2 linked regions of the Neurospora crassa OR74A genome follow. The protein of the gene in region 1 purifies or fractionates together with the protein of each later gene. This does not show direct contact. Links are inferred from orthologs where the notes say so. Each region holds a gene or a part of one and is shown in the gene's direction. Other genes may lie near its edges.

Region 1 (4,468 bases):
TCAACCAGGAGGTTGACCCCGAGGCCCAGGACAAGGGCGAGGGTTTGGTTGGTATTGATGATGAGAACAAGCTCTCGACCGTCACTTTCCTTCCCCAGCTCAACTCCTTCTCCATCGGTCTCCCCGGCTCCCCCGACAACAAGGCCGCCCTCGAGGTCGCCAAGTTCCTCGGCACCAAGCACCACGTCATGACCTTCACTATTGAGGATGGTCTTAACGCGCTTTCCGATGTCATCTACCACCTCGAGACCTACGATGTCACCACCATCCGTGCCTCTACCCCCATGTACCTCCTCTCTCGCAAGATCAAGGCCATGGGTATCAAGATGGTTCTCTCTGGTGAGGGCTCTGACGAGATCTTCGGTGGTTACCTCTACTTCCACGGCGCTCCCAACAAGGAGGAGTTCCACGAGGAGTGTGTCCGTCGTGTTAAGAACCTCCACTTGGCCGACTGCCTGCGCGCCAACAAGTCCACCTCTGCTTGGGGTCTTGAGGCCCGTGTGCCCTTCCTCGACAAGGAGTTCCTCGAGGTTGCTCTCAACATCGATCCCCAGGAGAAGATGATCACCAAGGAGAAGCTCGAGAAGTACATCCTCCGCAAGGCCTTCGACACCAAGGACCAGCCCGAGGGTGCTTACCTCCCTGACAACATCCTCTACCGCCAGAAGGAGCAGTTCTCCGACGGTGTCGGCTACGGATGGATCGACGCTCTCAAGGACCAGGCCGAGCTCCAAGTCACTGACGAGATGATGAAGAACCCCAAGCCCGAGTGGGGTGACGACATCCCCGATACCAAGGAGGCTTACTGGTACCGCTGCATGTTCGACGAGCACTTCCCCCCTTCGTGCGCGTCTACCGTCATGAGGTGGACTCCCAAGTGGGTCAAGCAGACCGACCCCAGTGGCAGAGCCATCTCCATTCACCAAGCCAAGTATGACCACGTGGACGAGTAAAGCAAAACAAGAAAATAATAAAACCAAAAAGGGAAACCATGGATAAAGAAAATGGGGACTGGAATGTTTAAAAGCTTGGCATCGGGATTACAATGCAGGGCGTTATATGGGGTCACAATAAACGGATCGCGTATACCTATACTAGCCATTAACCCAGCATAGAGATGAAGACAAAAAGTGATTCAAAACTCTATGTAGCAATTGGCATGTTTGTGAACAATGGTGACCGTTTGGATGGGACTGACTTCGTATTGAGCAAGGTTCGGGTGCAATACACGAACGACAAGTGAAACAACCTAAGCAAGACCTATTCCAAGCAACAGACGGTAATGAAGATGTGAGTACGAGAAAAGGGGATGACAATTATGCGTATGCGATAGATAAAAGATGCTTGCATTATGTGGGTGCTATGAGATGCGGGCCTTTTCCGGACGACACAAATGCACTTGCGGTCTCGAGATGAAAGGGCTGACTGCAGATGATATGGTTTGCCTCAGCTTCAGTCTGTGCCCTGATTGTTTACCTTTGGAGAAGGCGTGAAAGGGGGCCATGACGCTGAAAGGGGTTAGGGTTAATGGTGTGCATGAACGGGCTGGTTTCGTCAATGGCGTGGGGTCGCGATTGGTGCTGCTTCAAGCTTGTCATGGCGAGCCTACTAGCGCTGCCGAGCTGCCAAATGCACACGGCGAGAAAGACCAATCACGACTCCGTCTAAGAAATTTATCGGGACATTGCACCTGGTCTTGGGGTGTCTCTGGTGTTCCCAACATTTCCATTTCCACTTTTCGGCTGGAGCTTCCCAGACCCGACGCCGACTTCCCAACCCAGTCGCCAGGCTCGCCAGAACCCACCAGAGAGAGGCCCCCCCGCCGTCAGTCGCAGCCGACCCGACTGAGCTTGCTGCTCCCCGCCGCGCGCAACATAACCGCAAGCCTTTTCTCTCCCGACTCCCGTCTCCAGCTCGCGTTCTTGAACTCCGCAACCTCACTTTCTCCATTCACCATCATACCCGTGTCGCCCTCACACAACATCTTTCACAATGGCTGTTCCCGCTTTCTCTGACATCGCCAAGTCGGCCAACGACGTAAGCAAAAATCACGCCTCCCTGTGCTCCGCACCCGAGCTATGACGGCGACCTGTTCGATCGATGTTATCGAGAGACGTGTTTGTCTGTTTGGCTGGAGAAAGCTGTACAAGCTCCAAAACTGAAGCGGCATTTCCCCATACCTACCTACACATCCCCCTCTCGCGATAGCTCGTCGATGCCAATGTCCACGAAGCAACATCGTCATCCTCCTCCACCCCCACCATGATTGAATGATTGGGCCCTGGTCCCCATGCACGCACTATAATGTGTCGCTAACCATGGACTTCTTTGCGCGCAATATAGCTCCTCAACAAGGACTTCTACCACCTCGCTGCCGGCACCATCGAGGTCAAGTCCAACACCCCCAACAATGTCGCCTTCAAGGTTACCGGCAAGTCCACACACGACAAGGTCACCAGCGGTGCTGTACGTTACCTCCTCCCTCCCTTGGGGCTCTCGGCGCAATGCCGCGACAGCATCATACCACCTTGCTGTTGCGCCAAACGCCCTCCCTTCTCTCATGTTGCCAACGGACCAAGCTGACCTCTTTTGCGTGACTGATAGCTCGAGGGCAAATTCACCGACAAGCCCAATGGTACATATCACTCTTCTCTTACATCTCTGTCTTCTTCTTCTGGTCCCCCTTTTGGTCCCCTTCCTCCCGGCGCACCACTACCTCCTGGCTTTTGCATTGTTCACAGACGCGTCCACAAAGACGAAAAGGCCAGGAATTGTCATCCCGACGGAAGTTTAGCCGCCCACGACAATGGTACTGCCAACGTGAAACAACCAAAGCAGAGGCCTTCAGCGCGTGTTCGGCCGCTGGTAGACTTGAATTTCTCTCTAGGCGGCGTCATCGGTCCTCGAGTTCGGGGACGACCCCTCTACTTCAGCTTTCTCCATTATCCGTATGCGAACCTCACGACAATGCTAATGTACTGGCGAACAACAGGCTTGACCGTCACCCAGACCTGGAACACTGCCAACGCCCTTGAGACCAAGGTCGAGATGGCCGACAACCTCGCCAAGGGTCTCAAGGCTGAGGGTATCTTCTCTTTCCTCCCCGCCACCAACGCTCGCGGCGCCAAGTTCAACCTCCACTTCAAGCAGAGCAACTTCCACGGCCGTGCTTTCTTCGACCTCCTCAAGGGCCCCACCGCCAACATTGACGCCATTGTCGGCCACGAGGGTTTCCTCGCTGGTGCCTCCGCTGGCTACGATGTCCAGAAGGCTGCCATCACTGGTTACAGCGCCGCTGTCGGCTACCACGCCCCTACCTACAGCGCTGCCATCACCGCTACTGACAACCTGAGCGTCTTCTCCGCTTCTTACTACCACAAGGTCAACTCCCAGGTTGAGGCCGGCTCCAAGGCCACCTGGAACTCCAAGACCGGTAACACCGTCGGCCTCGAGGTCGCCACCAAGTACCGCATTGACCCCGTCTCTTTCGTCAAGGTATGTTATTGCTGTCATTCCGTTTATGGAACTTCTGTATGCTGACCTGATGTTTCTTTCCAACCGTATAGGGCAAGATCAACGACCGTGGTGTCGCTGCCATTGCCTACAATGTTCTCCTCCGTGAGGGCGTCACCCTCGGTGTTGGTGCCTCTTTCGATACCCAGAAGCTTGACCAGGCCACCCACAAGGTCGGCACCAGCTTCACCTTCGAGTCTTAGAGTAATCGCAGGACACATGTGAAGAAGCAGCGGCGTAATAGTATTCCTTCGAACAAATTCTCAACTGGAATAGATAACCCCCCTTTGCTGGCATCGTGGAGCCTCCCCTTCCAGTAGTGATATTTATTTCTTTTATGAAGATAGTGAAGATGACGAACGTTGCGCCCTGCTTCGGGTGGCTGACTGATAGGATGAGTTTGTGTATAACTGGTTTGGGCTTTTGTGTAACGAAGAGGGCCAAAAGTTCTTGATAGAGTTGTAGCGTCTTTGATGGACATGGTTACTGTAATTAGGCTGGAGACGGAAACCAAGCGCGATCTTTACACTACTTAGATTATAAATACCCATAGCGATTTCAAACACGCTCATTCAGTACTTACTTTTCAAACACCGTTGAAACTCCAAAGGGCTGTGCAATGAAGTGAAGCATCAGCATGTAATTGTTGGTGGCATTCTTTGCTGCAAGCAAGGCTTAAACCCAGCCAGTTAACTAAAGCTGGAGGGATAGAGCTTATTCAACGTGTTGTCCGCAAATCGATTCCCTACACCTCGACTAGAGGAGATACGATACTAGCTATATATAGATAGGTACCTTTAGTACGGCGAACACCCAGCATGCAAAGATGCGTATTGAATTGGAACAGATCTTCTCGGCACACAGTTCAAGCTTCATCAACTTCTCATCATCTTCTCAAGAGCTGAATTATGAATGTAGTCTGTTGTCACACAAAGCTCTTCTCTAACTGCAGAAC
Region 2 (4,480 bases), on another chromosome or scaffold:
AAGAAGAGACAAGCAGTAGAAGTGAAAAAGTCGAGTCTTTGAGGCGGTGGAAGAGAGTGTCCACCTAACTGCAATGGAGTCATCTACTTTGACGTTCGTTGACGTTCGACGAGAATTGGCCAATCGAGGTGGGTACTGGCAACGCCAATTGTTAAGAATTGATATGATGGTTTCGCAACTGAGGGAGAGAGAAATAAGGTAGAGCATAAATGTATATATGCTATGAACCCAAAGCAATATCCAGGGAGTGTGCACAGTGAAGTGGTTGAAACGGAGTTTGATAGACTGGTGAAATCTATGATAGTCAGCGATTTATGAAGACGCTGTGATCAATAGCAGAATCGTCTGTTTTGGAAGCGACTTCATGATGAACAGAAGTTAAAGCGTGATTTGCGAGCGACTGAGTATGGGGCAAGAGGACTTCAAAGATGATCTTTGATGAGTGGTCTTCTGGTTGAGACATGGGAAAAGAGCAATCAAGGCTTGTGATTGGCTCCTCAAAATTTCATGCTAGGGACGTGTTATACCGAAAGGCGTATCATACAGCCGAGCATCGAACAGTAGAGGTAGTCAACTCTTTCAGAGTCCAACGGCGGGAATGAAGTGATCTCAGATGCCAGTCTCATGCCAGTTATGAAACTTAAGTCCGCACGTCAACACACAAATGGAGACGCAGACATGTTGAAGGAGAGAACAAGATCAAATATCATATCGCAATCCCGTTATCTGCTCCAACATGCTTGAATGAATCAAGAAGCAAAGCAGGCGTGTAGGATGGGCCGAACAGGGATTCGTAGGAATAGGTCATGAACTTGAAGTTGTCGAGTTGCCAGAGCATATGCACATACGAGGAGTTGTGTCCGAATATTTCGACCTGTGAATGCTGGCGCCGATGATGCCGGGGATGCCGAGTTGTGAAAGGCCGGTCGGTGTTGAGGCTCAAGTGGGAGGAGACGGGTTTGCCAAGACCGACCAAGACGGTCCAGGGGGGTTCGGTTGCCGGGTAATTCTGGGGACTGCCTGCCGAGAGCGAGGTGCGTCCCCGGGGAAGAGGAGCGACTTTGTTGACATGGAAATGCATGGACGTCAGAGGATCCATCGAGCCGCTTACTCACCGGTCGTCAATGTCTGAATGTCTAGATGAACTGGCCATTTTTGATCAATTCAATCCAAACCGTCTCGAGGCAGTTGACAGTCAAGAAAAGGGGGTGAGCCTCAAAGTTGCGTGTCCAATTTGTCAAGTCAGAACCTCGATAGGTATGCTGCGCGACATAAACACTGAGTGCCAGTGATAGTGAATGAGGGGGAATGATGCTCACCTGGGCACTGTTGGGGACTCCCTCCCAGCAGCCAATGGTGGGGTGCAGATGGTTCCAGAAACAGCGACAGCAGCGGAAATGGAGGGAAAGCAGCAAAGCCGCTAACCCACAAGCGACTAGCGGCAGCGGGGAGCTCGGGCCTTTGGAGATGTTTAAGTCCAGCATTTTTTTCGAACGCCGACACGCCCACGGCCGCACTTTTCTTCCCCAGTTCTTTCGGCAGTCCGCGATCCTAGCTTTCCTTTGCTCTCTTTTCCCCTGAAGTCAACCGTCGTGATACCCCCGTGATCCTTCTTTTTTCTCTGTTTGTAGTTTCCTTCCTTCACACAATACCCCCAAAATGCAGCGCGCGTTGACCAGAGCTTCCGTCGGCAAGGCGGCCACTCGTCTTCCCGCCCAGCAGCTCCGCTTTGCTCACAAGGTACGATCCGGGTCCCGGCCATGCCGTCATGGCTATCCGATGACAATTGGCGCATACTGACAGCTCTCGCCCACTACACAGGAGCTCAAGTTCGGTGTTGAGGGCCGTGCCGCTCTCCTCGCCGGTGTCGAGACCCTCGCCAAGGCCGTTGCCACCACTCTCGGTCCCAAGGGCCGCAATGTCCTCATCGAGTCCAGCTTCGGCTCCCCCAAGATCACCAAGGGTTAGTATACCATGTCTCGGGGTGTGATGGGGAAACATGGCATGTGTGTCAGAGTGACTAACCCCTCCACCCAACAGATGGTGTCACCGTCGCCAAGTCCATCAGCCTGAAGGACAAGTTCGAGAACCTCGGTGCCCGCCTCATCCAGGAGGTCGCCGGCAAGACCAACGAGGTCGCCGGTGACGGTACCACCTCCGCCACCGTCCTCGCCCGCGCCATCTTCTCCGAGACCGTCAAGAACGTCGCTGCCGGCTGCAACCCCATGGATCTCCGCCGCGGTATCCAGGCTGCCGTCGAGGCCGTCGTCGAGTACCTCCAGGCCAACAAGCGCGATGTCACCACCTCCGAGGAGGTTGCCCAGGTCGCCACCATCTCCGCCAACGGCGACAAGCACATTGGTGAGCTGATTGCCTCGGCCATGGAGAAGGTCGGCAAGGAGGGTGTCATCACCTGCAAGGAGGGCAAGACTCTCTACGACGAGCTCGAGGTTACCGAGGGTATGCGCTTCGACCGCGGCTACGTCTCCCCCTACTTCATCACCGACCCCAAGTCCCAGAAGGTCGAGTTCGAGAAGCCCCTGATCCTCCTCTCCGAGAAGAAGATCTCCCAGGCCTCCGACATCATCCCCGCCCTCGAGATCTCCAGCCAGACCCGCCGCCCCCTCGTCATCATTGCCGAGGACATTGACGGTGAGGCTCTTGCCGTCTGCATTCTCAACAAGCTTCGCGGCCAGCTCCAGGTCGCCGCCGTCAAGGCCCCCGGCTTCGGTGACAACCGCAAGTCCATCCTTGGCGACATTGCCGTCCTGACCAATGGTACCGTCTTCACCGACGAGCTCGACGTCAAGCTCGAGAAGGCCACCCCCGACATGCTCGGCTCCACCGGCTCCATCACCATCACCAAGGACGACACCATCATCCTCAACGGTGAGGGCTCCAAGGATGCCATTGCCCAGCGCTGCGAGCAGATCCGCGGCGTCATGGCCGATCCCTCCACCTCCGAGTACGAGAAGGAGAAGCTCCAGGAGCGTCTCGCCAAGCTCTCTGGCGGTGTTGCCGTCATCAAGGTCGGCGGTGCCTCCGAGGTTGAGGTTGGTGAGAAGAAGGACCGCTTCGTCGATGCTCTCAACGCCACCCGCGCTGCCGTTGAGGAGGGTATCCTCCCCGGTGGTGGTACTGCCCTCATCAAGGCTTCCGTCCACGCTCTCAAGAACGTCAAGCCCGCCAACTTCGACCAGCAGCTCGGTGTCACCATTGTCCGCAACGCCATCACCCGCCCCGCCAAGACCATCATTGAGAACGCCGGTCTCGAGGGCTCCGTCGTTGTCGGCAAGCTCACTGACGAGTTCGCCAACGACTTCAACAAGGGCTTCGACTCGGCCAAGGCTGAGTACGTCGACATGATCCAGGCCGGTATTCTCGACCCCCTCAAGGTCGTCCGCACCGGTCTCGTTGACGCCTCCGGTGTCGCCTCCCTCCTCGGTACTACCGAGGTTGCCATTGTTGAGGCTCCCGAGGAGAAGGGCCCCGCTCCCATGGGTGGCATGGGCGGCATGGGCGGCATGGGTGGCATGATGTAAGAAGGACAAGGAAATTACAAACTACAACTGTGAATCACACGGTCAGGAGATGAAAAATGTGTCTTTTTCTTTATTTTTACCTTTGATTTATGGCGACAACATGGGTTTGGGGGGCATCGGGCTTGGTGTTATCACGGACTGTAAAAAAAATGTGTGTCATGTAACTTTCTCTCCTCTCTACCTTTTCTCTTCGTGTGTTCTTACTAGCATATTCCGGCGGGCATTGTTTGGATGATGATGATGCTCCTTGTACTATAATCTACGGACCACAGAGGAGGGTTAGAGTAGAGCAAATCATGAGAATGAATGAAACTGTACAATACTGCTACTGATGTCTCCTTGAATAATCCGAAAGCTGTGCAACCATAGTTTTGGAGGTGCGTACCATTTCTTGGAATATTACGCATTCACCTTTAGGCAGCTGTTGATAGTGTTCAGCGAAGCTGATGTATTACTAGGAAGGCATATCTTTTGATACTCAATTGTCTGGCATGCGGACATTTGCTGATATTGAAGCCTAAAAGTCCGTGAGAAGCTTGCGTTGCCATGGTGGCTGTGAGATATCAAGATGGGTTGGTTGTCAGAACTTGGAAACGCATTTGTGAATTGGATGAACGTCGATGTGATGGGAGCTTGGGCCAATCATTTGTTTGGTGGTGCCCGGTTGACAGAGGTTGACGAATTCAAGGTAATGTGGAACAGAAATTGCATGGTGCAACACTGAAACGGCGCCAAGTAAACATGTTTTAAGTGTAGTGGGACTCTTTTACCAGGTGGCAGTCTCCCCGTCGCTGCAGAGGCTCAGAGCTGTCAACTCGGTGTGCAAGCCACATGGCCAACCGTCTGCTTTCGTTTCGCAGACGACAACGAACTCCCGTCGACATGGAGACAGCACTCAGCTTCAGGGCAGTTAGGCTGTTGACGACGGAGCTGACTGT

What was found.
Region 2: the proteins of por (region 1) and hsp60 purify together in Saccharomyces cerevisiae (affinity purification with mass spectrometry, with the first as the bait; 3 studies listed by BioGRID). This does not show direct contact. The link is inferred for Neurospora crassa OR74A from reciprocal best matches to the Saccharomyces cerevisiae genes POR1 and HSP60.

What each region holds. Positions count from the first base shown.
Region 1 is NC_026505.1:5,560,691-5,565,158, forward strand, and holds por (outer mitochondrial membrane protein porin), read left to right. Parts: upstream 1-1,655; 5' UTR 1,656-1,992; coding exon 1,993-2,037; intron 2,038-2,343; coding exon 2,344-2,466; intron 2,467-2,604; coding exon 2,605-2,635; intron 2,636-2,992; coding exon 2,993-3,495; intron 3,496-3,566; coding exon 3,567-3,716; 3' UTR 3,717-4,106; downstream 4,107-4,468. Other genes in the region: NCU04303 (asparagine synthetase 2), read left to right, coding at 1-953. UniProt on the Saccharomyces cerevisiae protein: Non-selective voltage-gated ion channel that mediates the transport of anions and cations through the mitochondrion outer membrane.
Region 2 is NC_026502.1:3,011,392-3,015,871, forward strand, and holds hsp60 (heat shock protein 60), read left to right. Parts: upstream 1-1,514; 5' UTR 1,515-1,659; coding exon 1,660-1,740; intron 1,741-1,821; coding exon 1,822-1,963; intron 1,964-2,040; coding exon 2,041-3,542; 3' UTR 3,543-3,996; downstream 3,997-4,480. UniProt on the Saccharomyces cerevisiae protein: May participate in assembly and/or disassembly of proteins imported into the mitochondrion. HSP60 are ATPases and have affinity for unfolded proteins.